Linked DNA regions of Canis lupus familiaris. The protein of the gene in region 6 purifies or fractionates together with the protein of the main gene of each other region. This does not show direct contact. Links are inferred from orthologs where the notes say so. Each region holds a gene or a part of one and is shown on either strand. Other genes may lie near its edges. The genes, in order: NR0B2, ARID4B, HDAC4, SMARCC1, BRMS1, SIN3A and MTA2.

Region 1 (3,804 bases), on a different chromosome or scaffold from region 6:
AGCCCTGGGTTCCCTTGCCCCTCCCATTGGGACAGCAGTGGACTGTCTTCTACTGTCATCTGCAGGAATGGGCAAGTGAATGATCCCAAACTGCAGAAATTCCCGTGACCTTGACCTTGCCTGTTTAAATTTGAGAATGGGCTGCTTCATATTCCTTACTGGCTGTGATCTGACTTTTGTTGAGGTGAGAGGGAGCCTGTATGGCTCAGAAGCCAAGAGAGGGGTTAGCGATCCCCACAAGGGGATCAAGAAGAGACACTCTCAGCCCTAAAGATAAAGGCAAGGAAGTAAGGGGGCCTGAACTGATCCTAGTCCCTGTGCAAAATAAATCTCATCCCTCAAGATGAAATAATCATCCTGCCCTGAAAAATTAATATCCCAGTTCCCTGAGGGCTGGCTCCAGCACTCCTTATGATTCCTTCCTCCTGAACTCCTGATAGTGGCAGAGTGGGCCCTGGAGGTGGGACAGTCCCTTCCATGTACAAATTACAGTGTCAGGCTCCAAGGGTATCATGCCTTTTATTACAAAAACCAATAACTTAAATCATTTCTGTACAAAGTCAGTAGGACTTGTCCCATTGAGCAACCTAACTGCCATCCCCATCTCAGAAGGGGTCAGGAGTCTTAGCCCAGAAGCCAGAGGACCACTCCAGTTCCAGACAGCTGGAGCGCCATGTCAAACCAAGAAAGGCCAGTGGGGGCCGTGTGGTGAGTGAGGTGGGGGGTGCCCCTAGCCCATCTCTCTGGGGCAGGACAGGCTTGTTCCAGGGAGGCTGAGTGCTGCCTGTACAAACTTGCTCCCTCTGGGGGCAACAGGTAGCCCTGGGGACAGCTGGGCCAAATCAGTGCTGCCAGCCTTTGCCCAACCTCCACTTGATCTCTGCCTGGGCTGGAACAGGTTGGCTCAACAAAAGCATGTCCTCAAGGAGGCCAGCGATGTCAATGTCTCCAACAATAGGGCGGAAGAAGAGGTCCCCAAGGAGGCTGGGCGGGATGGACTTGAGGGTGGAGGCTGTGAGGAGGACACGGGCCAAGCGGCCTTGGCCTGCTGGGCACCAGGGCTCCAGGGCCTCACATAGCGCATGATGAGCCTCTTCCTGCAGGTGTCCGATGTGGGAGGAGGCGTGGAGGCCTGGCAAGCCTGTGGGCAGAGAGGGTGAAGAGGGCGGGTGAGTACCCCACTCCCAGGCAGCAATATTGGCCCAAGACCGGAGGTCACTGGCTTGGCCTTTGAGGCCCCATTACTACCTCCTCCATTTATGTGTTTATCACTTTATTTATCCATCCATTTATGGGGCAGCCCAGAGTAATGGTTAAGAGCCAGGCAGCCCGGGTTTGAATCCCATGCTGTCACTCACTGGCTGTATGACCTCAGATATGTTAATATCTGTGCCTCAGTTTTCTCATCTGTAAAATGGGGATAATAATACCTATCTCCTAGGCATGTTATGAAGTTTAAGTCAGCTAGTATATTCAAAACCCTTATAATTGGGCCTAATATATGGTAAATGTAATATGAATATTCATTACTATCACTATAATTAATTACCATCATTTATGCATTCTACGAGGGCTTTTTGATGAGGAATTCTCATCTCACATTTTCATTCTTCTCCATGGGGTCTTTCTGAACCCACAGGGTTTTACCTGTGACAGAGGCAGAGTTGTGTCTGCTCACCTTCCCTGACAGTCAGGGCAAGTTTCTTAGGCAGAGTGGCATGGACCAGTCTCTGGAGGGAATAAACCTGAGTTCCCATCCCTGCTTTGCCCCTACCGAGGCTGTGTGACCTTCAGCAAAACACTTAACCTCTCTGGGAGGTGACTTTTGGGGATAATGAGGACCCAAAGAGAAAACGGGTGTCAAGCCCTTAGAAGATGCCTTCCCTGCCTGGGTCCCCATCCAGGAATGTCTGGAAGCTCACCAGGATTGAAGAGGATGGTCTCTTTCAGGTAGGCGTATTCCTTGGGGCCCAGCTCCAGGCTCCAGAAGGACTCCAGGCAGCACTGAAGCCACTGTACGGCAGCCAGTGAGGGCTGGGGCCGATCGGGCAGCTGGCCGCTGTGTGCACCACTACTGGGCTCCTCCAGCAAGATCTTCTTGAGTATGCTGGGAACCGGCGCCTCAGCCACCTCGAAAGTCACAGTGTCTTGGGCCAACCCCAGCAGGAAGAGGGGGCCCCAGCAGACCCGCAGCAGCAGCTGCTGATCTTGAGGGGGCAGCTGGCAGAAGGACGGCAGGTTCTTGAGGAAGACTACTGTCCTGGCCAGAACATCCAAGGCCTCCCGGCAGGTGCGATGCGGGGCACACAGCCGGACGGGCCGGTGCTGTCTGCACAAGCAGCGACTCTGAACCGGGGGCACTGGGGGCCTGGCCGTGAGGCTGGGGCTCAGAAGTGCATAGAGAATGGCTGGGCGGCCTGCAGCACCCTGACACGGGCAGGTCCCTGGCTGGCTGGAGCTCATGGTTGGGGATCTGCTCCTTCTTCCTCCCAGCTCTCCCGCTTCTGCCCTCTGCTGTGTGCTGGGTGCTATTTATATTCCCCCAGTGGGAGGGACGGTGGGTGGGGGCAGGAGGGACGGCCTGACAACCTTGACTCCAGAAGTCATGTTCATTGAAAAAAAAAAACACGCACTGACCCTGCAGGATTGGTGGGGAAGTGGCGGGGGAGGGGGCTTTGGGAGTTCCACGTGGCCCTGATATCACTTCAGTCAATGAAGCAGCCTGTGCAGGGCACAAGGCTGCCTGCCCGCTGGCCCGGCTGCCCCTTATCAGATGACTCAAGTGGATAAACAGGGTCATTAACCCAGGCTGTACCGAGGCACCAAGGCCTCAGGTGCACAATCAGCAGGTGGCCATTGCAGGTGTCCCTATTGGTGCCTGCAAGACTGGCGCTAAGCTGGGAGGCCAGCCCCGGAGCTGGACGAGCCTTGAATGCAAGGCCCAACCTGGAAGTGCCTTATCAGGGACTTGTTTGCCTAACCTTGGGGCTCTGCTCCTGTTGTTGGTAAGGAACAGGCTGCGGGAACGGAGCCAGGACCCTGGGGGGCTGGAAGGACTTTGCCCACTGTGCAGGCCAGGAGGCCTCCCTCTCCCGACTCAGTTCTGGGGCCCCTCCAGAAATAAGGTACCTAAGAACTTCTCTCTCCTTAGCCTGGATTTCTAAAGTTCCCAAAAGGCTGTCTCTGCTGAGAAGCCCTCACAGAATGAGAATAAAGTTTGGCTGCTATTTATTGAGCACCTACTGTGTGCTAGGCACTTTCCATTCTAATACTCAGAGCTTCCCCATGAGGCAAAATTCTTACTTTTTGAAACTGAAAGAGGTGAAGTGACTTGCCCAAGGTCATGTTAAGTTTTTTAGTAACTAGATGGAAATGAGACCGCCAAGGCAAGCGAGGGTCCAAGAACAGATTTTATTGCAGGCACCCTCGGGCGAGGTTCCACGACTCACGGGGGAAAGAGAGTGAGTCGAGGAAGTCGCGCCAAGACAAGGTGGTAGGGGGTTTACATAACGTTGTAAGGCAGAACGGTTTCCTATTGGTTGGCTCATATGCAAAGGAAGGATTGCAATCCAACCAGTCAGAGTGACCCTCACTATGCAAAGGAAGGATTGCAATTCGACCAGTCAAAGGTGACTTCCTCCTCTGGGGTTTGAAGGGCATTGGGTTCGGTTGGGGAAGTCCAAAGGAGAGGTGTAAGGGTCTGCTCAAGCTGTCAGCAGGTCATTGGTCCATTGGCGTCCCAAGTGGAGGTGGTGACAGGAACCCCAGCCATTTTGGCGTATCCGCCATCTTGAGGAGTTTCCC
Region 2 (4,071 bases), on a different chromosome or scaffold from region 6:
TAAAGCATCACGTAACTCTCCTTTGTATTACTCACCACTATTACCAAGGTCACACTCGTGTGTCCACTTTACTTCCTGTCTGCACCGTTTTTTTTTACATGGTAGGCACTCAACAAATTTGTGAACGATTGAATGAACCAACGGAAACGCGCTAGAGGATGAAATCAGGGCATACGCTTTCACTATAAAAAGATAAAAATACCATGCAATTTCCCCCGTCCCCCACACCCCGACAATGATCTGGTTTCAAAATTGCTAAATAGTGATATACAAACGTAAGCTTGGCTGTGAAACGCAGAGTGAATCCTTCCACGCAAACTTTGGGAGATGACAGAGCTGAAGAAAACTGCCCGAGATACAAGCAATAGATTTAAATAACTTCAAGGCAGATTTTTAAGAGACTTGGCAAAACCGCTTCAAGCGATTCCTCTACTCGTACGAAGCCCGCAGGGTCAGTGAGGTTCCTGCTTCCTCTCCGCTCAGATGCCCCCTTCCGCCGCCCTGGATCACCTACCGCTCCTCCCCTTCTCTAGCAAGTACGGAAAATTCATACACAATCCGGTTCAGCATCCGGGTCCTCACCCTCCTTTCTTTCTTTCCTCTCGACCCCGCCTTCCAGCCTCCCCCGCCCTCATTTCCCATCCGGGTCCCCCCCCCCCCCCCCCCCGGCCGCCACCACAGCCGCTCACGGTTCAACGGTGATATCACAACTTTTCGCGTTGCCGGTCCGGGGAGTAGTAGTACCCAGCATCAACTTCCCACTTTATAGTTCTGACCAAGGCTCCGCCTGACGTCTACATGGGTCCCTCCCCTTGCTTCACCACAGAACTCTCCACCCTCCTCAGCCACCAGCGACACTGCATTACTCGAAGCAAGAAAATGCGCCATCCCGGTCACACTGCGCAGGCGTCGTCGCCGCCTCCCCACTGCTTTGTCGCCCCGCCTCCTCTCCTTCCCCCTCACTCCTCGTCCCACGCAGGCGCGGGGCATTGCGGGTCTTGCAGTTCTCCTGGGCAAGGGCTTGCGCATTGGCCCCAGAGGTTGGACTACACTTCCCGGCAAGCTTTGAGGAGTAACTTTCAGTTTCCATAGAAGTGGTGGGAAAATGGCGTCGTTGTTTGTATTCCGAGGACCAATAAGAATGGGATATAGGCGGGTTCTAAAGAACGCTAACCAATCCGAGGTCGTCTAAGAGGCCATCCGGGAAAGAGGTAGGGGAGGGGCAAGCTTCTAGGGGAGGGGAGAGAGAAGGGAGGGGGGGCACTGAGCGGGGGGGGGGGGAGCGATGTTTGCCCGTCAGTCGAGTCCGGAGTGAGGAGCTCGGGCGCCGGAGCGGAGGGAGAGTCTTGGGCTTAAGCTTGCCGCCGCCACGGCCACCGCCTGGACCTTTGCCCGGAGGGAGCCGCAGAGGGTCTGGCGCTGCCGTCCTCTGGAGGGCAGCGCGATTCGGGGCCCGGACCTCCAGTCCGGGAGGGATTTTTCGTCGTCCCCCCCTCCCCCCAGCGAGGGAGCCCGAGCGGCCGCCAAACAAAGGTACCAGTCGCCGCCGCGGGAGGAGGAGGAGCCGGAGCTTCAGCCTCAGCAACCGCTGGACCCGCCGCCCTTCTTCCCCCATCTCTCCCCCGGGCCTACTGGTTTTGGGGGGGAGTAGGGGAGGGAACTCTGGACGTGCCAGGGTCAGAGCTCGCCTCCGCGGAAGGTAGGGGCATTTTCCGAGGCTCTCGCTGTCTCGTGAGGGGGTCCGTTCGGGAGTCACCCGGCCCGGCCCGGCCGAGGAGCGGGGGACGATCGCTCGGTGTCTCGCCGGGCGCTGGGGTTCGGGGCCTCGGCCTCCCGGGAGCCCCCGCCCCCATGCAGTTGCAGAGTGCGAGTCGCCCCCCATCCTGGCGGCCGCACACTCAGCGGTTCAGCGGCTCTGGGCCGCGGTGGGGGGCCCGGGCCGGCACGGGGGGCCGTGCGGTCTCCCGGCCCCTCGGTCCTTTGGCGGCCCCCGCGGCCCGGCCGCCGGGGATCCCGCTCGCACTTGTCCGGTCTCCGCCCGGGAACGGGACGTGGGCAGCGGCTGTGCGGTGGGTCGTCCTGCCCGCGGCCCTCCGGCCCGCCCGGCCTCCCGCCGCCCCCACCCGGGGCCCCTGGAGCCGGGGCCTGCGCGACCCTATGGGGCGCCGAGCCGCTCGGCGGGGCCCAGAGGCCCCCGGTGGGGACAGCCGGCCCTGCGCCGGCCCCCGGGCTTGTTGTGAGTTTCTTCTCTGACAGAAATGGCGTCATTGTCGGAGACGGGAAACTCCGTCGGGTCCCGACAATGGGGACGGGAAGCTGCCGAGCTGTGTAGGTGGCTCGGTTTGCGGGGCTGGCGAGGCCGCGGGGAGCCCCCTCGTCGGCGTGTGGTGGTTCCGGGGCTGACGCCCGCTACGTTTCTTGCTTCGGGCTTCGGGCGTCGGGCTTCGGGCTTCGCCCGGTTCCCTCCGCTTCCGCCGGTGCAGAGGGGTGCCTGTAGTGTTGACTGGGTGTCTTTTGTTTCCCCTCCAGGTGCAGGTGAATCTGGTGTTTTCGCGGGGATCGCGGTCCCGGAATCATCATGAAGGTAGGATTGCTTACGGAAACCGAGCTCTGGGGTTACAGAACAGGGGGGTTTGATGGAGGCCGCGTGTGGGGCCTCCGAGTTTTGCCGAGGAAGGTGTGTTTGGTGGCGGGGTGCCGGAGCCCGTTTCCCGGAAGACGATGGGGGTCAGCTGGTGTGGCTCTGTCGGCTCTGCTGTGGAGTTGGGGCCACTTATAGGATGTCACACGGAGCATAATTCTCCCATATAGACCGTCTCTTCTTGCAGGGTAAGGCAGGAGTAATTGCATGAAATAAAGTATTTTAAAAGGTAAAACAGAAAAAGCAGGTCAAGTAATCCGACTCTAGAAACTGAACTGTATTGTGGTTCTATCGATTACACCGATGAAAGAAAATCTCGTTTATTGTGTGAACAGTGTTGTGGGTTTTTAGCAGAAGACCTATTTGGTAAGCTATGAAAATAATCTGAGTCGAGAGATTTTTGAAGAGAATCTTTACACACCTCAGTTTTTCCTTGTATTTCCTGGGATTTAGGATTATTTGGTTTATTTTTTCTTTGATCCTTTTAGTCGGTAAATTGTCAGATACTGTAATAGAACCAGTGTGGATTGATGTGGAAAACCCATTGCCAGGTTCCTCTTAAATATAAACATGTTAACTGAATGGAGGAGAGTGTGTAAAAAGTAGAATTTACTTAGTTCGTGGAAGAAATTATTGCAAGGAAAGAAAGTATAGGTTGGTTTTGGGTTTTTTTTTTTTTTTTTTTGGTATATGTAATTGAATGCTGTCAATCTTTAATACATCCGAGAATAAAAAGCCTTAGTTAGATATCTGACATGTCTAGGTTCAACTGGTGGAACTTAGAGACTAGAGATATTTTTCATTCGTGACAAATTCAGAAGTGCTTGAAAGGGTAGGGTGTGTTCACAAGTATAGAAATGGATAGAATAGTATGTGAAAATATAAATGTCTACTTTTGGTAGTTCCTTGGAATTATTTGAAAACAAGTTTTCTTTTAGGATTTTCTGCTTTTATAGTACTGCATCTAAATGAAAATTTGTAATGCTTGTGTTTATGGAAGAAAATAAAAGCTGTGACTACTTAAATATTTATCAGCTATATAAAGTAATTAAGTTTAGCTGTAGATTTTTTTTTTTTTAGATTTTTTTCTTCTTGAGTTTGGGGTGCTATAAACTGAAAATATCTGCTGAATTTTTCTGTCTCACCTTCATGTAAATGAAAAATACAATCAATGATGTTTCAGAAACAAATCCCTTTTGTTATTCACAGATGCTAGCTATAACTCTTGTGACCTGTATAAAACAGAGACAAGTGAATTTTTTTTTTTTTTTTTTTTTTTTGACAAGTGAATTTTTTAAGGAAAACCGTATATCTTCCTTGGTATTGGGTGAGAATTTCTTAAGAAAGGCATTGGGTTGAATAACATATAATAAATTCAGAAGCTGAATAAGAGCATTTAGTTTGTGATAGGTATCGCAATCTGTTGTAGT
Region 3 (3,968 bases), on a different chromosome or scaffold from region 6:
GGACAGGGTGCGTCGGGTGCGGGCCGCGACTCCCCGCATCCCCTACTGGCCTCTGGGCAAGAGGCCCGGGGCCCCGGGGGCAGGTGAGCCGTGCAGAAACCCGCCCGGGACAGTGTCTCACTCCACTTTGCACCTGGAGTGATACACCCGGGGCTCTTGGGTCTCCTGGCGATAGAGGATGGACCGGCGTTCCCAAATCCTACCTCCCAGCCTTCTCAGGGACAGAGGGCACTTCACGTGTCAAGAAGGTTCACACGCGGTCCGGGTGGGTGCAGGTGGCGGGGAGGTGGGGCACGGGGCAAGGCCCTCCCCGGGGGACCGTGCTGGCCCCCTGCCCCCTGCAGGTGTCCCCAGCCTGGGCCCAGCCTCTCAGCCTCACCCCACCAATGCGGGGCCCCTTCCTATGGTAAAATGTCACCCCAAGGGGCGCAGGCGTTGGCTTGCTAAGACCTAGTTCTTGACGGGAGGGATGAAGGACTCCTGGGGCTACAGAGCCAGGACGAGGAAGCACGATGGCCCGACCCACTCACCCAGCTCCACTCGGCCACCGTCACTTCCTCACGGGAAACTTCGTCTTAAAGTCCATTTAAACTGACCTGTATGAATCAGTTTTAAATGAAAATTTCTGACGGGGAAATAACCATGTTTCCTCTGTCTTCCTTCTTTTCGTAGGATCAGCACAGATCTGCTGCCCTCCGGTACAAAATCCAGCTTCCAGAAAGCCAGGAGGACCGAATGCTCTGCCCTCCCGAGGGCCTGGCGCGGCCGCTTCTCCGGGAGTGCGACGGTCCCCCAGGATGGGCCAGGACCCCCCGACCCCCCCCCGGGCCGGCCCTGCGTGTGGATGAGGAGGTCGAAAGCTCAGAGCTTTCCCTTCCTGGACAGTACCTTTGGGGACACCTGCCTTCAAAGCATGTCCAGTCACGCTGCGTAACCTGAGCGAGGGGGCTGCCGGCCAGCGCAGGGCACCTGTGCTGGGCCTCCGTGGGGGCTGTGGGCCCTGACCCAGTGACCCGGCAGCTTGGGCTGCAAAAACCGCTTTGCGCCCCGGCGGACACTGGCCACACCCCGTCCCCAGGATCCAGCACGTTACCTGCCCCCCCGACCTGTACACCAGCTGCTCCCGCCACCGGAGTGGGAAGACGAGCAAACAAGGCGGTGGCGCCGTGCCCCGGTGAGAACCCGGTGGGGAGCGGGTGGGCCCCCTGGGGACGCCGAGCTCACACCCCGACCTGAGTACAGGCAGCCCGACCTCCTCAGCCTCCTGTTTCAAAGAAGTCATTTCACGGACTGCAGGGTCATTTCGAAAATAATCTCCTTGGCGGCTGAAAACCGCTCGTGCAGCCTCTGCCGGTTCCTAAAGTGACCACGGAAGGCGTGGGGGCGGACAGTTATCTGCTCCACGCAGATTTCAATTCTGAAGTCCGGCGACAGGGCTTTCTTAAGAAGAAATGGATGAAAGGGAATGCGAACTGAGATGTCGAGAATTTCTGCAGGATTATTAGGAGTCCAATTAATCTTTAACTTAGATTGTGAAAACACAAGGTTAAGAGGCCTTTCCACCCAGTCGCCGCCTGGCTGAGCCGAGGAGGGTTCGTTCTTGATTCTTGAAGAACGGCTTGTGAGGAACACGGGCTGCTGGCACTTACCCTCCTCCTCCGAAGACTCCACTCTGGGGACAGCCAAATGACCGAAATCCTTCCCAGGAGCAGATCGTGCGAGGAGACAAGAGCCGCAGGATTCTGGGAGCTGGGAAGGGGCCCGGCGATGCAGAGTGAAGAAGGACCCGGCCCGGAAGCCAGGACGGCCAGGGACCTCGGGGCCGGGGAGGCCGCGCTACGGGCAGCCTTTGACCCCACGGCCCGCCCGCCCCCCGCACGCAGGGACTCCCAGAGCAGCGCCGAGCGGAGGGCGGGAGCTGGGTGCTGGCCCGAGGCAGGAGCAGTGACAGCTGATACACTGCAGGCCGGAGTGCGGGGGCCGGGCCTGCGCCCCAGGGAGGAGCCGAGAGCCCAGGAGGGAAGGGCCAGGTCATGGCACCAGGGCCCGAGGAAGCGCCAGGCCCCTGCCCAGCGACCGGCCAGAGGACGGGTCCCGCCAACACACCCGCCCAGCTTCGTGGAGACTCACCCTTGGATACGGGCCGAACACTGAGGAAAGCCTCTACCGTGAAAAACAAAAAAGCGCCCTCTGCACAGCCCGCAGAAGTGCACTGTCTGCTGCCCCTCACACCCCACCCCCGAAAATGCAAGGGCTGGGAGGTGGCTGGGTGGCCCAGCTGCTCCCTATGCCCCCTGGCCCCGAACCCAGAAAAGTGCGGGGAACATGAAGGTGGCCCCGATGCTGAGGGAGGAGGAGGGAGGCAGGGCCTAGCACCGCTCAGCGGCCCCCAACCCACCAGAGAACATCCTTCGAAGTGCGGCCCAGGGGCAGACGAGGGTCCTAAGCACCCACAGCCAAGGGGACAGACGCTGCTCACTGGGCGCAAGTGCCGTGGACTCCTCCTCGGTGGGAGCTGATAAAGAACACGCTCCACCCGACACCCAAGTCCCCCGCCGCTGCCAGGCGCGCCTGAGGTGGGCCTCCTGCCCGCCGCCTCCAGCCAGCCACTGAAATGTGCCCCCCTCGGGCCCAGGCCCTCGAGGAGGAAGTCCCGCAGCCTGGGCTCACCTCCAGCAAGCCCGCGGGGGCACCTGCATGCTCCGGGGTCCTGGGGACCCACCCACTCTGTGGGCCACATAGTCACACCAGGCGTTTCTTCAGCTCTGAACGTGGCCAGAGCCATTTTGCCAGCTCTGGCGACAGTGGACGTGCTCACCCTGGAAAACCAGCCCAGGGACAGCCCACAGGCTCACACACTGAGCACATGAGTGCTGGCTGACGCCCAGCCTTCTGGAGCCTCTCCAGACAGTCCGCAGGGGACAGGCACAACAAGCCCCCAGACCCGCCCTCCACGGAGCGCACAGCCTGGAGGGGAGGCGACCACAAAGGAAACGAGTGCGTGAACCACGCAGCAAGCGGGACACACGGACACTGCTAACCGCCTGCTAATCCCCATTTAACCGATGTGCAAAACGGACAGGTGGGGAAGCAGAGCAATCTGCCCAGGTCACAGTGATAGGAAGCAGAAAAGCTGAGCCCGGGCTCCAGGAGCGCCACAAGGTCATCACGTGCATTCATCTCCTGTGGCTCTTCCTACACACTTAGTGGCTCCAAACAACACAGATTTATCCCACGGTTCTGGCGGCTCCAGGGGAGAATCTGCTCCCGGCCTTTCCCAGCCGCCAGGTCCCCCTGTCTTCAAAGCCATCAGTCACTGCAGCTGTACTCACGACTCCTTCTTCCACTCTGACCCTCCTGCCTCCCCATCTGAAGGACCCTTATGATTCCACTGGACCCACCTGGGTAATTCAAGATCATCATCCATCTCAAGATCCTTAATCACACCTACAAGGTCCCTTTGGCCACGTTAGGTCACATACTCACAGATTCTGAATTAAGGCGTGGACCTTTGGGTGTTGGGGGACACTACCTATGAACCAGACTCTGGCTTCTGGGCTGAGCTGGAACAGGGGGCTACAACAGAAGCAAGGAACAGGTGGGGAGGTGCCTGCGGGTTCTAGGTGCGAGCCAGTGGTGGCCGGGCTGCCGTCGTCACTGACGGAGAGGGGGAGTAGCCAAGCTCTACACATACTTAATAACTAACTTTACTGAGCACACGGCCTTTTACCCTTCAGAAATGCACAAGTCAGTGAATTTCTAGTAAATTTACCAAGATGTGCAAGCGTCACCTTGAACCCATGTTAGAACGTTTTCATCACTCAGAAGGGACTCCTCCTTCTGCGCATGCTTTGCCGGGCAGCTGATGGCATTTGCTAGTTGGGAGAATGGGCTATGGAGACAGGATTTCAAGGGCGAATCGGGGCTTCAGAGGATGGTGGAAGCACTGAGTCTGGGTTGGTACGGGC
Region 4 (3,500 bases), on a different chromosome or scaffold from region 6:
AATCTTAAGGGACAAGTTATTACTAATTGTTATTCTCCCTTTTAAGTGCAAACAAACCCAATTACTTCAGGAAGCTGACAGGAAAATACAACATCTATTACTCCTGTCCTCGGGGGCAGCCATAACTCACCAAGTTTCTCTGGCTCATCGGGTCCTGTGCCTGCAATACAGCTGCTTTCCAGGCCGTAGGTGGGATCCACTTTCCCAGAGGCTCGTGCTGCTTCTTGTACTTTCTTGACATGAGCTTCAACCAATTCCAATGGGACCTCCTCTCGGACCCGAGAAAACTCCTCTGTTCAAGAATAAAAACGGAACAGTGGGACTTGGTTTTATACAAGATTTTGCTTTAACGTAAACCACTAGAAAATCTAACATATTAGTGTCTTGCATAGTGATCTTTCTGGGGACTCAGTCTTATCCCAGCAAAACAACAATGCCAAATGAGACAATCATGTATACTGAAGAAATTCGATGATTCTACGTTTTAGCTTACATGTTATAATATCTTATTATATAAATAACACAGATTTCTAAATTTCCATCAGTAACAATCAAAATTTCTGCCCAAACTAATCTACCTCTGCAGGCTAGACTGATATTAAAGCAAACAACAAGGATTAAATAGCCAGAAAGTCAAGAAAGGGTTTTTATAGTGTGAGAAAGTTCCAATTACAATAAAATCCAATAATGTGGGGATCCCTGGGTGGCTCAGCCGTTTAATGCCTGCCTCCGGCCCAAGGTGTGATTCTCGAGTCCTGGGATCGAGTCCCGCATCCGGCTCCCTGGGAGGAACCTGCTACTCCCTCTGTCTGTGTCTCTGTCTCTCTCTCTGTCTCTCATGAACAAATAAAATCTTTAAAAACAAATAAATAAATATTATAATACTTTTCAATATAATATAGAGAGGGTAATATGTGATTTTCTTCTGTATAACTGAAATTAACATAGCAGCGGATAACACATAAATCTGAGACAACATATATATGAAAGAAAGCACTAAACCATTATTTGAAACTACTATGTTGCTGACATGGTTCAAACAAGTCCATACCCAAAGCTGCTTTTGCTGCAGCAGATGCCACACGAGGGTCCACCACAGATGCCAAAAAAGCAACAGTGCTCATGACTGGGTTTCCAGACTGACTGAAAGGGACAGGCTGGTAGGCCAGGGGCCCCAGGGAAGCATCCGAATTCTCAAGGTATGGGTCCTCAATAGGAAGCCTCAGAAAGTGGAGGATGCATTCATCCTGAGTACGACTTCCGACGTGCTCTGACACTTTGTTCCAATCATCCTTGTACATCTCCAGGGCCTGTAACAGAAAAAAACCCAGGAGCTTTAGGATTAGGTAACAAGGAACCAAGATATGTAATAGTATCAGAAGCCTGTGACTGTTCTTTGGGTGTGTTTAAAAAAAAAATAATGAAAATGATTATATGGCACACAAGAAAATGGGTAGGTTTGACTGCTTTCCTAACTACGTTAAATCTCAATCAGGCAAAAAAAAATTAAAAGCATACACACATAAAAGGAAGAACTGTCTTTCATTAATACATATAATCGTTTATATAGAAAATCCAAAGAAATCTACAAAAAGATACTAAAACTAAAAGGTTTAACAAAGTCACAGGAGAGATGTGGAATAGAAAAAAATTTCAATGAAAAGCTTTAAATTGGAAAAAAAAAGGTATTTAAAATACCACAAAAATGAAGTATGTAGGGAACAAATACATTAGGATATCATCTCTCTCCAAGCTCAGTAACAGGTTCAACACAATCCCATTCAAATTCCATGTCTTTTTTGTTAAAAATTAAGAAACTAATACTGAAATTTATAAAATATATAAATACTCAATTTAAAAATTCATAATTTGTCAGAGAAAAATGCTGAACAACTTTCAAAAAAGAGTAAAAGTAGTCTCCAAAGGGGAGAGAGGCACAACGTTATGAAGAAAATCAAGGAAATGGATAAAAAGAAGGTATTCAGTAGTTGATCAAAGCTGCTATTCTCACATGATTCTCACCAGGCACAATTTTGCCTCTTTGGGGACATTTAGTAATATCTGCAGACATTTTTGCTTGGCACAGCTGGGGAGGTGCTACTGGCATCTAGTGAGTAGAGGCCATGGATGCTGTTGAACATTCTACAATGCAAAACAGATCCAGAGCCTGATTTGCTCATCTATGCTATGAGATGAGCTTGCAATGATAAGGATTCTTTCTACGTTTATGAAGGTGAATTCTTAACCCAGGGCTCCAACTGCTGCCCCAGGCTTGTCCTCTTACTAGAGAGGTAGAGGACACCTCACAACTCACATTAGCGAATTGTCTTATTCATTTAATCCCTTGAAAGACAAGGCTAATTCTGGGTTTTCTCTGGACAGCTAGTGGCCTCAGATCGTTCTAGAAGGACTTACTTAGAAAAAAGACCCAGATTTTAACAAAAAAGAAAAATCAATCTCTTTCCTTAGGATCCTCAGGGCCAGAAAGATATAATTGGGGCCATTTTATGCTTCTGATTATAGGGAGATTTTTGGGGATACTATACCAGAGTCTTTTCAAAAAAACTTATTTAAAAAAAATTTTCTTTCTTTAATTTCCTCAGCCAGAATAAATATAGTTCAGGAAGTTCTTTTTCCAGAATACAACTAAGAAATCCTCTGACAGGCAAAATTCAAGAAAGAATCAGTATCGAGAAAAGCATTAGGCAGAGAAAGTGAGGTTTCAAGCCTGGGCACTGATGGTAGTATTACATAACAGGAAATTGAAGATGTTTTCAGACAGAACATGGTGGCAGACTGGCTGGGAAGGAAGGAGAGGGCTGATATATTAGCAAACATTTTATAGTACTACAAAACACCTTCATTCTTTCTGCTATGACCTGGGTCCCTTCATTGCTCCTTACCTGGATTCTTAGAATTCCCTGTTTCTCTATCCTTAAATTCATCCTTCTCCTATTACCAGAATGAGTCATGTCTCACACATGACACGGTCTCTCTCCTGCCTAAAACTATAACCTTGCTCATAAATATCTTATGAAATTAAGTCCAAACAGGATTGGGACTCTGTCCCACTCCACCCCGTGCCCTATTCTTTCAAGTCTGAGGAATATCCAGATCCCAAACACTATTCCTAGTTATTGAAATATTATGAACTAAAGCCAACAACATAGCTGTCCATTCCCAGGAAGCTGTCCTTTAAGGGTCACCCAGCCATTGCACAGCCATCCCCCCTGGACATGACTTGTGCTCCGAGTACAGCTCCAAATGTAAAGCTGAGGCTGTGGCACTCATTTTTTGTTTCAACTGCCTATAAGAAAAGACTTTCCTCAAAACAACTGTTTTTAGTGTTTGTTTTTAATTGGAAGACATACTCATCTAAAATGTAGTTAAAATTACACTGAAAAAAAGGTATTTCTTCACTGGCATGTAAAAGAAAGCTATCAGGTACATGCAAACCATGAGGAACTCTTTGATGCTTACTATTTTCCACCGCTACTGTT
Region 5 (4,077 bases), on a different chromosome or scaffold from region 6:
GTGGTCCTGGATGGAAAGGAGGCAATGTGGCAGGATAGTCCTAGTTGAGGAAGTGGTTGGATGGTGTAGATGCCTCCAGAGGAGTAGGGATGCTGGAGAGAGGCTTCAGGGATGCCAGTCTCAGCCCTAGAAATGTCATCCAACTTCACTGACCTGTCTCTCCTCCAACAGGCCTGTGAGCTGCACGTGGCAGGATTTGATTTCGAGGTGCTGAACGAAGGTTTCCTGGTTCATAAGGGCTTTAAGGAAGCTTTGAAGTTCCATCCCCAAAAGGAGGCAGAAAATCAGCACAATAAGATCCTTTACCGCCAGTTCAAACAGGAGTTGAAGGCCAAGTACCCTGACTCCCCTCGTCACTGCTGAGGCCCTCCCTCCCCTAGTCGGAGAAGTCTCAGCCTTTTCCCTCCTTAGGCTGTCCCTCAGTCCTGACAGGGATAATCAATGTCACTCCACTTTTACCGTGGTAGCTGTGGTGTTGGAACACTGGACTTGAATATGGGGTGCTGGGATCAAGTCCTAGCTTTACCACTAACTAGCTGTGTGGCCTTGAGCAAATCCCATTTCCTCTCTGAGCCTCAGTTATCCCATCTGTAAAAGGGGAGGTGAAAATACCTACCTCACAGAACTGTTGGGAGGCTCAGATGAGATGCTATATGTGAAAACATTCTGTAAGCTTCGTACAAATGTGAAGTATTATTAATATTATTACAGTATTATTGTTATTATTATTAACAATCTGGGGTGGGTGAGCAGTCGGAGAGCAAAGAGTATGAATGGGGCAGACTGAGAAGTCTGAGTACTTAACAAAATGGACTTTTTGGAAGAAATCAGATAAAGGCGCTGAATTTAGTTCTTAGTTTTGGGGCAGAAAACTAAACTTCCTGGTTCTTCCAGGCCTCCACCCTCGGGAGCTCTGGGGAAAGGAAGGGTCTGCAGGTTCCGTGCCAAATCTGTGCCGTCCAACAGACTGGGTTATTTGCCTACCAACGACCATGTGTAAATAAATGAGTGTTCACACCTACAGCTGGCTCCATGACTCTCCTGGACCTGGCGGGCAGAGGGGGGGGGTCGCAGCTTCTTCCCTTCCCCGGGCGGGGGGCACAGGGGTGGGGAGGAGGTTGCTGCGGCCCAAGAGGCGCCGACCGCACAGCAAGGAAACCACGGGGGTCTTTTCCGCCAGCCGGCCGAAACCCTGCGTGAATGTCGGCCGGTTGCTATGGAGACCGGCCCCGCGGTATCCCAGCATGCTTCGCCGCGAGCTGCCTAATTGTGAATTTCGCGACCGGCGCCTCCTGATGACGTATGCGGAAGTGCAGCGGGCCCCGCCTCCCGGAGTAGAGGGACTGGCGCGTCGTTTCCGGGAGCCCGGCAGCCGCGGGCACCTCTCAGGGAGTTTCAGAAGTCAAGCTGGAGGCCCCCTCCCCACGGTGCGTAACGCTCCTCAGGGCACCTGGTTCGGCCTCTCTGGCCAGTCGGTCGGAGCTGGGCCAATCAGGGCCGAAGCGGAGACCTAACCGGCCGGACGCGTGCGGCGCCGCGGGGCCGCTGTTGGCCGCCGAAGAGGCAGTGACTCCCCCGCCCGCGGCGCCGGCGCAGACGGGAATGGAACGGAGCGGGAGGGTCCTGGCGCCCCGCGCCGCGCAGGGGTCTGGGTGGGCTCTCTCCAAGGACAAGAATCGGCCTTCCGTGGAGGTCCGCCCCGAAATGCTCACTTTCTAAAAATATAAATTGTGTGTGTACAGCGCCTTATACTTTGCTTTTCCATCCCCTACGCCTTGCAATCTTTAGAACGCTCAGAGTAGCAATGGTTATCCTCTTGGTTAGCCTCTTTTTGCACCTGGGGTAAGGAGGGGAGGTTGTGATTTAATGTTGCTCCCTCAGTAGAATCAGAGACAGCTGGAGACAAAGGAAATATATATAATTTTACAATGAAGAGGAATTGCGAAGTTTGGGAACTGCAGGAACTCAGTTCCTGCTTAAGAATGGGAAAGATGAGGTTGGTTTGGAGAACTGAGGTTTTCGGCTCAGGTTCACTTGTGAAATCATTGAAGAATGAGACTAAACTGAGCCGCGAGACAGTTAATTATACACAACTCAAATTGTGTCAAGGGCTCCCCGCAGGGAAAATTTATGCGGGACTCCCGGATCCCAGGACCACGCCCAGAGCCAAAGGCCGACTCAACTCCTGAGCCACCCAGGCGTCCCAGTGTGTCAAGGAAAGTTAACAGAATACTTTGGGTTTGCTACCACTACAGGGTCCTGGGGCAATCAAGAAGTAAAAGCTGCCCTGAAAAAGTGTGCTTTGTTTAATTTGTATTTGCATATCCACCAGTTGTGAAGTGAAGTAAGTACTGTGCTGGGTGAACGAGGTGCATGTGCATCCCCATCCTGGTAAGGCTTACAGCCTGATTGGATAGACAGACGTGAAAACGGCAAATAGAGAGGAGATGTAAACAAGTAGAGCTTCCTGGAGGGAGTGGTGTCTATATCCATCTAAAGGACTACAGTACCCTGCTCAGAGAAGTTGGAAGAACATCACAGTGAAATCGAAGCCTTCAGTAGGTAGAGATTAACTGTTGGGTGGACTGTTTAGTCTTCCTCATAATTGATCTCTTGGCAGCATTTGGCACTATGATCGTACTTCCTTCTGAAATTCTTTCTCCCCATGACTGTGCTTCTCTTCCTCTGTTTCTTGCTAATTTCCTTCTCCTTTGCAGGGCTTTCATCACCTGGCCCTTTGGTGGCCCTGGGAGTTCTATCTTGGACCTCTTCTCACTCCACACATTTTGCCTTGCTGGTTGTGCCTTCTCCCAAGGCCTGAAGCACTCACTATATGCCGATGACCAGATCTCTGCACCCCAGATTTCTCTCTGAGGCTTAGACTCATGTACCCCCACCTCTGCCCCTTCCCTCATTCTAGAGTCTTTGCCCATGCTATTCACTCTGCTTGGAATGTTCCCTCTCCAGCCATCTCAGCTCATCTGTCTGCAAGTCCTCCCTATTGCTGCAGCAAGGATCTTCCTCTGCAAGCCCTCACTGTTGGAGCAAGCTCCAGGTTCCAGTGAGATGCCTCTCCCATATGTCCTCCAGTCTTAACCGTTCTCATACCACAGTACGGTCTGCTTATTGCCTGTCTCCCAGGAACCTACAAACTCCTTGAGATCAGAGACTGTGTCTGTCTGCTCCATCGTGCCCAGCATCTGACCATAGCATCTGACAGTACCTGGCATATATTAGGTCTTCAATAAATCTTAGATGAGTAAATAAAGAATGATTAATAGTGTTCATTGTTCCTGAGAAGTCAACGAAGATAAGCACTAAAAAATACTGGCATTGGACACAAGGTGGACATCGGTTGATGCCACAGAATTCACTTCAGCTGAGGGCAATCATAGAGATATGGAATGGAACCTCTGGTTAGTGAAAGAGTAGGAACAGCCAGAGCCTTGGGAAAGGTAGCTGTGAGGTAGGAAATGGGGAGTGGTTAAGTGGAATAGGGCGAGGTTTTGTGTTCTGCTATTTCTAAATGGGAGACAATACCCGAACACATCTAAAATTTCATGGGTAGAAGCTGTCAAGAGGAAGGATTGGAGAAACAGTGAAGATGGGGGTACTGGTAATATGAGGCTCCAGAGAAAGCAGAAGGACATAGGCGTTGATCCAGAACACAGCGAGAAAATGAGGATTGCAGAGTGTTCTCAGGATGAGAAGTGGATGGCATTCCAGCTGAAAGGATCAATGGACGGGGTGGGGAGTATGAAGGCATGGCGCACTTAAGGATGGTGGGGTAAAGGAGCTGGCTCAGTACTTCAAGTCCAGTCTGTGCAGGCCCTTAAACACCCCAGCCACGAGTGCGGGCCCAGTCCCAGAGGCAGTGGGGAATCCATCCTTGGTGTTTCCCAGCTTCTGGACCATCACCTTGGCCAGCATTCCCCAGATTGGGATCACCAACAATGTCCAAGATTGTGAGCGTTTCTGTGGCTCCCAGGCTTCTGGGAGATATTTGGGCAGGGCTTGGTTTGACTCCCCACACGGTCACTTTCTCACTCAGAACTGAGGGTGATGATAAGTGATGGC
Region 6 (4,155 bases):
TCACGTGTGCGCTGGCCCCAGGCTCAGCTCTGTTAAGCAGAGATGTAGGGTGGCCCCTTTCAACTTCTGGTTGAAAGTTAGGACAAACACGGCAAATTATTCAGGGAAGGATCTGGGTTAGAGTTTTTGACTTGAAGTTAGGCAAGGCTTTCTGGGTTGGACGGCGGCGAGAGAGAAAATAAATTTTCCCTTGGCTCCACCACGTACCCCTCCCACCAGAAGACAGATCTCTCTTGTCTCCAAACCGAGTATTACAACAGCCTTTGTGCCTCCCCTTGCCGCCTACAGGCACCCCTCACTCAACCAGTCCCAGAACCAATCCGGCTACTGGGATGTTGAGCATCTTACCCCGCAGCTTTGAGCCTGCGGTCCTGCGAACAGGCTGCCTGCACATGATGCCGTCTAAGAACTTTAACCAGGTTTTAAAGTCTTCTGCTGTTTGGTTCCATCTTTCCAGCCCTGATTTCCTTTCCTTTTTTAAAGATCTTATTTATTCATGAGACACACACGAGAGAGAGAGAGAGAGAGAGAGAGAGAGAGAGAGAGAGAGAGAGGCAGAGCCACAGGCAGAGGGAGAAGCGGGCTCGGTGCAGGGGGCCCGATGCGGAACCGCGGGGTCACGCCCTGGGCCCAAGGCAGACGCTCAGTCCCTGAGCCCGGGGCGCCCCCCATCCCACCCTGCAGTTCATCGCTGCAGCCGCCCTCGAAGCTCCTAAACGCTGTCCTCCATTTACCCCTCCGGTTCCTCCCCAGAAGGGACTTGCCCCTTCCTTTCTGCCTGATGAAAGCCTTAGGACCCTGCGGGGCTGCCGCGTCCCCCACGGAGACTTTCCCAGTTCGCCCCCTGCCCTGGGCTCCCAGGTCTATTTTTCTGCGCGTTGTGGCCTCGCCTGGCGCGGCCGTGGGCGCGGCACACCTGGGGCAGGTGCGGGGCCCTCGAAGGGCTCCCGGGGCCGCCGCGGCTCTCAGGGCAGGTGCCTCCCCGCGCCCCGGGGGCTCGGCCCCACTCCCGCGGCAGCCGCCTGGCCGAGGGCGGGGGGCGGGGGTCCCCGCCAGCTCCGAGGGCCCCGCAGCGCGGAGGAAGGGGGCCCCGCGCCCCAGGTCGCCGTCCGGCCGCGGGCCTCCGGGAGCCCCAGGGGGCGGCCCCGCGGGAAGGGGCCTCGGCCGGGGCCGCGCTGCCCGCTCGCCGCCACTTTAATTTATTTATTTGAGGTTGTCGGGAGCGAGGCAGCGAGGCAGCGAGGCAGCGTTCAATGAAGGGAAGGGGCGGGGCGCGGCGGCGGGCGGGCCCGGGGCTCTGACGCGAGCGCCGCGCAGCCAATGGCCCGCGGGGGGCGGTCCCCCCCATTCAGGACTCCTCGCCTGGCTCGGAAGGTATGTTAAACAGCTGCTTTTAATTTGGTCTCCCCAATGTCGGGCGTTTGGGGGGCTGGCCGGCCGGCCCGCCGCGGTGCGGGGCTGGGGGGCGCCGGGCTCCGGGCAGGCCGGGGAGGAGCGCTCGGCGCCGCCCGCCCGAGCCCGTGTGCCCCCGAGCCGGCCGGATCCGCGGGCCGGGGGGCGGCCGGGGCGCGCCGGGCAGTCGGCCTCGGTAGGTGTCGGCGGCGGCCCGGCCGGGGAGACCCCCGCCCCCGCCCCTGCGGCGCCCGTGGAGCGACTACTGTGAAGGGGGGACGGGGGCGGGGGCGGGGGGCGGGGGGCGCGCCGCCGGGGGCCGAGCCGGGCGGGCCGGGCCCACCGCGGGCGCCGGAGTTGCGGCGAGCGGAGTTGGCGAGCGAGCGGGAGCCCGCGGCTGTCCCCGCGCCGCGCAGTGCCGGCTGCCGCCCCGGGGCTCGGCTCCGGCCGCGAACTTGGAGGGGGCGGCGGGCGCGCTCCGGGGCCGCGGTTGTTATGGACTCTGGGGGCGGGGGCAGCGCCGGCCCGCGGGAGGGGCGCCGGGGGCGGGGGCGGCACCGGAAAGAGCCCCGCGCGCCGGCCCGGGCGCCCCGGAGCCCGCCAGGCCGCGAGCCCGCGCGGACCTCGGCCCGGGGGTGTGGGAGCCCCGCGGGCTCCCGGGGCGGCCCCGGCGGATGCCTCCTTCCCCGCCCACCCGAGGCCGCGGCGGCGGCGGCGGCGGCGGCGGCGGCGGTGGCCCCTGCCCCTTCCCCTCCCCCGGCTGCGCTGCTCGCCCGCCGACGGGGCGGGGGCGGGGGCGGGGGCGGGGGCTCGGCGTGCGAGCGCGCCCGCGAGGGGGTGGCCCGACTGGGGCGGTGAAGGTCGGGAACTGGGAAAACACTCTGCACGCTCGGAATCGGGAAAAGGAAATGCATCAGCGGGCGGGGAGGGGCGCGGGGGGCGCGCCTGACAGCCGGGATGGCGGCCGCGGGCTGGAGGGCGGGGCGCCGGCGCGGGGCGGGGGCCGCGGGCCGAGGAGGCGCCGGGCCCGGGCCCGCGGAGCGCCGCGCCGGCCCCGCCGCCACTCCCGGGCCTACCCTGTTTACTATGTACTCCAGCCGCCGCTTGTGCAACCCGCCCGGAGGGGAGCCGGGGGGCGGGGCCTGCCCGCGCTCCCGCCCACCGCGGGCTCCCCGGAGGGCCCGCCTCCTCTTGTCTTCCATTGGCTGCGCGAGGCTCCCCTCTCCCCTCCTCGGCCCGCCACTGGGCGACGTGCTCGCGAGCTCCGCCTATCGGAGGCCGGGCTGGAGTTTAAGTTGCTAGGATTTTTGTTTTTTTTTTTTCCGTGAAGGGCGGAGGGAGGAGTCCTGCGGCTGACGTGCGGCGCAAGGTCCCGCCCCCGCCCCTGATTGGCGCGGCGGGAGGCCCCGCCCCCCGGCCGGGCGAGCGCGGAGGGGAAGTCCACCCCTGCTCCCCGCCCCCTCCTCCAGCCTGTGTGCGCGCTCCGCACATGTGGGAGTCCCGCCTCGCTCCTTCGAACTGTCCTCCCGCCCGGAAGTCCTGGGTCTGGAGTGCTCGGCAGGGGCGGGGCGGGAAGGGGGCGAGGAGAGCCGGGGAGGCACACAATGATGCCTCTAAGGCCGGAGACGGGGTAGCTTTGCGGTGCAGGGAGGGGTTGCAGGCAGCAGTGGGTTCAGGGGTCCCGGCTTGAGGGGCTCTGCGGGGGTCGGGAGGACACGGTGGGATCTGGCCTCCCGGGCCAAGTACTTAATTTCCGACGCTGCGGCCTGGCCGTCCCCGCGCCCCTTGGCTTCCCGGAGGTCGCCCTAGACTTAAGCTTGAGAACACCGCGGACGCGGGCAGCCTGTCGCTGGGTGGCTTCATCTGAAACCCTGGGCGACCTAAGAATAGCCTGGGTGCCTTAGGCGTGGTCCAGGGCGGCTCACCCCCGGCTCCCAGAAGTCGGGGGCGGCCCATCCTGCTCGGATTCCAAGTGGCCCTTCAAGGCCAGGGGCATCGTCGCGCGGCACCCAGTCCAGGGAGCAGGGAAGGACGAGCGCCGCTTCGTCCTGAGCTCGAGCAGGCTGACTCAAGGGTCCGCTTTCGCCGGCGTGACTTATGTTCAGAGCTCCGTCCTGGGGCAGGGCTTGGCTCTCCTCCGTTCGCTACTCATGGAGCCCACGGTCCACTGCCTTGCTCTTGCGGCTTGAAGCCATCCTTGCAGTCAGGCCCACCTGTTGCCAGCGCTGGTTGCCGTGCCGTCTCCGCGGGACTGCAGAGGGACGACGAGGTAGCACCTGGGCGCAGGTTCCCCGGGGCCTGCCACTTGGGGACTGGTAGGTTGGCTTGGGGGAGTCGCCTTTTTTGCTGGAGAGCGGGAAAACTCTGGTCCCGCCCCCTCCTTTCCTGGCGCTCCTTGAGCGCCCCCCAAAGCAGGGCCAGCGTCCTTTCTCCGCCCCATTTGGGGACTTTAATAAAAGCAACCTCGGCACTGCAAGCACTTTGTCTCTGTGTGTTTGAAGCACTATAACCTACACAGAGAAGGCCTAGGGACTGCCACGAACACTTGTTGGCCGAAGGACTAGCTGAACAGCCATTCTTACCTTTCGTCACCAACTGCAGGATTTTTATCCTTTGTACGAAGTGTGGGGTGAAGGTTTATTTATGCCGAGGCCTGTCTGCTCTCCTCTTTCCGTTGGAGCGAGCCTCCAGGTCTACCCCCGGAGGTCGCAGACGCCTCACACCTCACGCTCCGCCTTCCGGAGGCTTGCCAGGGCGGTGGCT
Region 7 (2,909 bases), on a different chromosome or scaffold from region 6:
AGTACCACATCAGGCTCCTTACAGGGAGGCTGCTTCTTCCTCTGCCTGTGTCTCTGCCTCTCTCTCTGTATGTCTCTCATGAATAAATAAAATCTTATGCTAAATAAGATTTCAGGCAGGAATAAATTGCTTTTTGCAGAGAACAGAAAAAAGGGAGCCTCAGTGACCATCTGTGTTCTCCCTTTTTCCCATGTCTCTTTCAGGAGCCACACTCGAGGGGTCATCTGTCTAGACCTGAAGCCCAAAGTCTCTCCCCCTATACGACCAGCGCCAACCGGGCCAAGCTGCTGGCTAAGAACAGGCAAACATTCCTGCTCCAGACCACAAAGCTGACCCGACTGGCCAGACGCATGTGCAGGGACCTGTTACAGCCGAGGAGGGCCGCCCGACGACCCTATGCCCCTATCAATGCCAATGCCATCAAGGCAGAGTGTAAGGGCAGGAGTGGTGGGGTTAGTGGCAGGTCAGGATACTCTGGCTGGAAAGCAGAGCAGAGACCAGTGTTTCTCTGGATGTTTAATGACAGGGATACCAGGCCACAGCGCTTGGGTGGGAGAATAGATGTGGCTCCTGGCCATAGGAGAGGCCTGAATAGCGAAGCCCTTTCGAGTTTTCCTCTTTGTTCTTCAGGCTCCATTCGACTTCCTAAGGCTGCAAAGACTCCATTGAAGATTCACCCTCTGGTGCGGCTACCACTGGCAACCATCGTCAAAGATCTGGGTAGGTTAGGGTATGAGGAACCCGTTAGGTGGTTTCAGGCTCACGTGGTTTCAGGCTCACAGTCATCTTTTTACCATCAAAATCCAAAGAGATTTAGTTTAATAGTTTAACAGCTGGTACTTTTGTATGTTAATAATGGTTTTCATAAGCTATCCATAGTGAATGCTAAGATCACACTCACGTGATCCTTGCTTGCCAGATCCCTCCCACCATCACTGCCTTTGGGGATGCCCAGGGAAACTACATTGAGAATAAAAAGCATGAAAGTTCTAAGTTTTCTCTTATTTTTTTTAATCTGGCAGTGGCCCAGGCACCTCTGAAACCAAAAACACCTCGGGGTACCAAGACCCCAATCAACAGAAACCAGCTGACCCAGAACCGGGGTCTGGGGGGTATTATGGTGAAACGGGCCTATGAAACTGTGAGTTAACAGCGGGAGTGGGCAAGGCTGATTGGGTGGGCATTTATGTCTGATAAGGATCCATGAGTCCACTCTCATTGTGTGCCCCCTCCCCCTTTCCAGATGGCAGGAGCGGGGGTCCCCTTTTCTGCCAATGGAAGGCCTCTTGCCTCAGGGATTCGCTCAAGCTCACAGCCAGTTGCCAAGCGTCAGAAACTAAACCCAGCTGATGCCCCCAATCCTGTGGTGTTTGTGGCCACAAAGGATACCAGGTACAGAGCCCACCATGGGAGGGGCTGAGAAGTTGAGAACCCACTTTGGGGGGTAAGGATAATAGTATTGGTGTGGGATGGGGATGTCAGGAAAGAATGGGTCCGAAGGCAGAACTGGATTGTGGAACGTGGGGTTTCACCTTGAGAGCCTTAGCCTTCTTTATTCTATTCTCCTTTTCCTGGCCAGGGCCCTGCGGAAGGCTCTGACCCATCTGGAAATGCGGCGAGCTGCCCGCCGACCCAACTTGCCCCTGAAAGTGAAGCCACCACTGATTGCAGTGCGGCCCCCAGTCCCACTGTCTGCACCCCCACATCCTGCCAGCACCAATGAGCCCATTGTCCTGGAGGATTGAGCATCTGTGGGGGAAGGGAGGTGGCTGAAAGCCAGAGGGTGGGTGCCCAGGGCATCCAACCTCCCTTCCCCTCTAGTAGCAAAGGGAATGAGGAGTGAGGGAGGGAGCAAGTGTTTGTCCTTGGAGGGGTTGGGCGCCCTCTGGTGTTACCACTTGGAGGCCTGTCCCCTTTCCACGTTTTCTCCACTTCTGGTGGTGGAGGGCACACTGCAGGAACTTGACCCACTGTGGGAACCTAACCTGTTTTGGGGGTTAGGACCCACAGTCGTCTTGGACAGTTTTGGGGGGAGGGTTTTTTAATTTTTTAAAAATTTTGCCTCCCTTTGTGAAAACGGGATGGGGAGGGGAAGGGTAAATTGACAGGAGGTGGTGGTAGGGGGAGGGGGGCGTGCACTGCCATGACTGCCATGTCTATCCTTTTTTTTTTTTTTTTCCTAATGGGGGTTTCTCTTCCTGTCCGGTGTCCGGACTTTCCTAATTGGAGTTTGAGGCCCCTAAGCTGGCATCAACCCCAACCCATGTTCTCTATTCCTTCCCTCCCTGTGCCCCCTCCGCCTTTTGTACGCCAATTCTCAGAAATAAAGATCTTTTGTCCATTTTTTTAACCTCGGATTCTGTAATTGGTTCTTATAGTAACAAATAAAAAGCTGTTTTCTTCAGCTTCTCCTGGCTCAGCTGTTCTCTGCCATGGGTGTGTGTGTGGGTGTGTGTGTGGGGGGAGGACAGTGACTTAAATTGGAAAAATAAAGGACAATGGGTGATAAAGGAGATACAGATGGGGCTTGCCTGGGAACAGCTTTAGGAGCTAGGCAGCCTGTTCCGGCTAGCTTTCTCGTGGGACCCAAACTGCTCCCCAGCTCCCTGTGGTGCTGGAACCCAGGCTCCCTCTTGGCACACAGATTGAGAACGGTTGGAATGGATGGACCCTGGATGGTTGGTGGCTTCCACAGGAAGGGAGGTGGGAAGATGCTTTTTCTTCTATTTTCCAACCCTTAACCTCTCTTTTAGGAAATTCTGGGAGTTGCTAGAGATCAGGGCAAGATGTAGCCTACTTGGGGGGCAGGGTGCTGCACTCTTACCACCCAGCCCTGTGGTATGTTTGCAGATTGCTGCTTCAGGGATTCCCAAGACCAGCCTCAGCACCTGCCTTGATATTGAGGGCAC

The links.
Region 1: the proteins of SIN3A (region 6) and NR0B2 purify together in Homo sapiens (affinity purification with western blotting; 3 studies listed by BioGRID). This does not show direct contact. The link is inferred for Canis lupus familiaris from reciprocal best matches to the Homo sapiens genes SIN3A and NR0B2.
Region 2: the proteins of SIN3A (region 6) and ARID4B purify together in Homo sapiens (affinity purification with mass spectrometry; 5 studies listed by BioGRID, with this or other methods). This does not show direct contact. The link is inferred for Canis lupus familiaris from reciprocal best matches to the Homo sapiens genes SIN3A and ARID4B.
Region 3: the proteins of SIN3A (region 6) and HDAC4 purify together in Homo sapiens (affinity purification with western blotting; 3 studies listed by BioGRID and IntAct, with this or other methods). This does not show direct contact. The link is inferred for Canis lupus familiaris from reciprocal best matches to the Homo sapiens genes SIN3A and HDAC4.
Region 4: the proteins of SIN3A (region 6) and SMARCC1 purify together in Homo sapiens (affinity purification with western blotting; 3 studies listed by BioGRID, with this or other methods). This does not show direct contact. The link is inferred for Canis lupus familiaris from reciprocal best matches to the Homo sapiens genes SIN3A and SMARCC1.
Region 5: the proteins of SIN3A (region 6) and BRMS1 purify together in Homo sapiens (affinity purification with western blotting; 4 studies listed by BioGRID and IntAct, with this or other methods). This does not show direct contact. The link is inferred for Canis lupus familiaris from reciprocal best matches to the Homo sapiens genes SIN3A and BRMS1.
Region 7: the proteins of SIN3A (region 6) and MTA2 purify together in Homo sapiens (affinity purification with mass spectrometry; 4 studies listed by BioGRID, with this or other methods). This does not show direct contact. The link is inferred for Canis lupus familiaris from reciprocal best matches to the Homo sapiens genes SIN3A and MTA2.

The regions. Positions count from the first base shown.
Region 1 is NC_049223.1:72,630,622-72,634,425, reverse strand, and holds NR0B2 (nuclear receptor subfamily 0 group B member 2), read right to left. Parts: upstream 2,526-3,804; 5' UTR 2,464-2,525; coding exon 1,923-2,463; intron 1,142-1,922; coding exon 843-1,141; 3' UTR 501-842; downstream 1-500. UniProt on the Homo sapiens protein: Transcriptional regulator that acts as a negative regulator of receptor-dependent signaling pathways. Specifically inhibits transactivation of the nuclear receptor with which it interacts.
Region 2 is NC_049225.1:4,973,367-4,977,437, forward strand, and holds the start of ARID4B (AT-rich interactive domain-containing protein 4B), read left to right. Parts: upstream 1-1,271; 5' UTR 1,272-1,533; exon of another isoform or gene 1,534-1,699; intron 1,700-2,529; 5' UTR 2,530-2,578; coding exon 2,579-2,584; intron 2,585-4,071. UniProt on the Homo sapiens protein: Acts as a transcriptional repressor. May function in the assembly and/or enzymatic activity of the Sin3A corepressor complex or in mediating interactions between the complex and other regulatory complexes.
Region 3 is NC_049246.1:49,717,733-49,721,700, forward strand, and holds the start of HDAC4 (histone deacetylase 4), read right to left. Parts: upstream 2,801-3,968; 5' UTR 2,786-2,800; coding exon 2,671-2,785; intron 1,850-2,670; exon of another isoform or gene 1,650-1,849; intron 1-1,649. UniProt on the Homo sapiens protein: Responsible for the deacetylation of lysine residues on the N-terminal part of the core histones (H2A, H2B, H3 and H4).
Region 4 is NC_049241.1:41,673,012-41,676,511, reverse strand, and holds part of SMARCC1 (SWI/SNF complex subunit SMARCC1), read right to left. Parts: intron 1,311-3,500; coding exon 1,052-1,310; intron 293-1,051; coding exon 131-292; intron 1-130. UniProt on the Homo sapiens protein: Involved in transcriptional activation and repression of select genes by chromatin remodeling (alteration of DNA-nucleosome topology).
Region 5 is NC_049239.1:51,468,946-51,473,022, forward strand, and holds the start of BRMS1 (breast cancer metastasis-suppressor 1), read left to right. Parts: upstream 1-1,277; 5' UTR 1,278-1,427; intron 1,428-4,051; 5' UTR 4,052-4,062; coding exon 4,063-4,077. Other genes in the region: B4GAT1 (beta-1,4-glucuronyltransferase 1), read left to right, coding at 172-363. UniProt on the Homo sapiens protein: Transcriptional repressor. Down-regulates transcription activation by NF-kappa-B by promoting the deacetylation of RELA at 'Lys-310'. Promotes HDAC1 binding to promoter regions.
Region 6 is NC_049251.1:38,743,107-38,747,261, reverse strand, and holds the start of SIN3A (paired amphipathic helix protein Sin3a), read left to right. Parts: upstream 1-1,355; 5' UTR 1,356-1,374; intron 1,375-4,155. UniProt on the Homo sapiens protein: Acts as a transcriptional repressor. Corepressor for REST. Interacts with MXI1 to repress MYC responsive genes and antagonize MYC oncogenic activities. Also interacts with MXD1-MAX heterodimers to repress transcription by tethering SIN3A to DNA.
Region 7 is NC_049239.1:54,563,067-54,565,975, forward strand, and holds the end of MTA2 (metastasis-associated protein MTA2), read left to right. Parts: intron 1-203; coding exon 204-432; intron 433-630; coding exon 631-720; intron 721-1,022; coding exon 1,023-1,141; intron 1,142-1,243; coding exon 1,244-1,392; intron 1,393-1,579; coding exon 1,580-1,745; 3' UTR 1,746-2,409; downstream 2,410-2,909. UniProt on the Homo sapiens protein: May function as a transcriptional coregulator. Acts as a component of the histone deacetylase NuRD complex which participates in the remodeling of chromatin.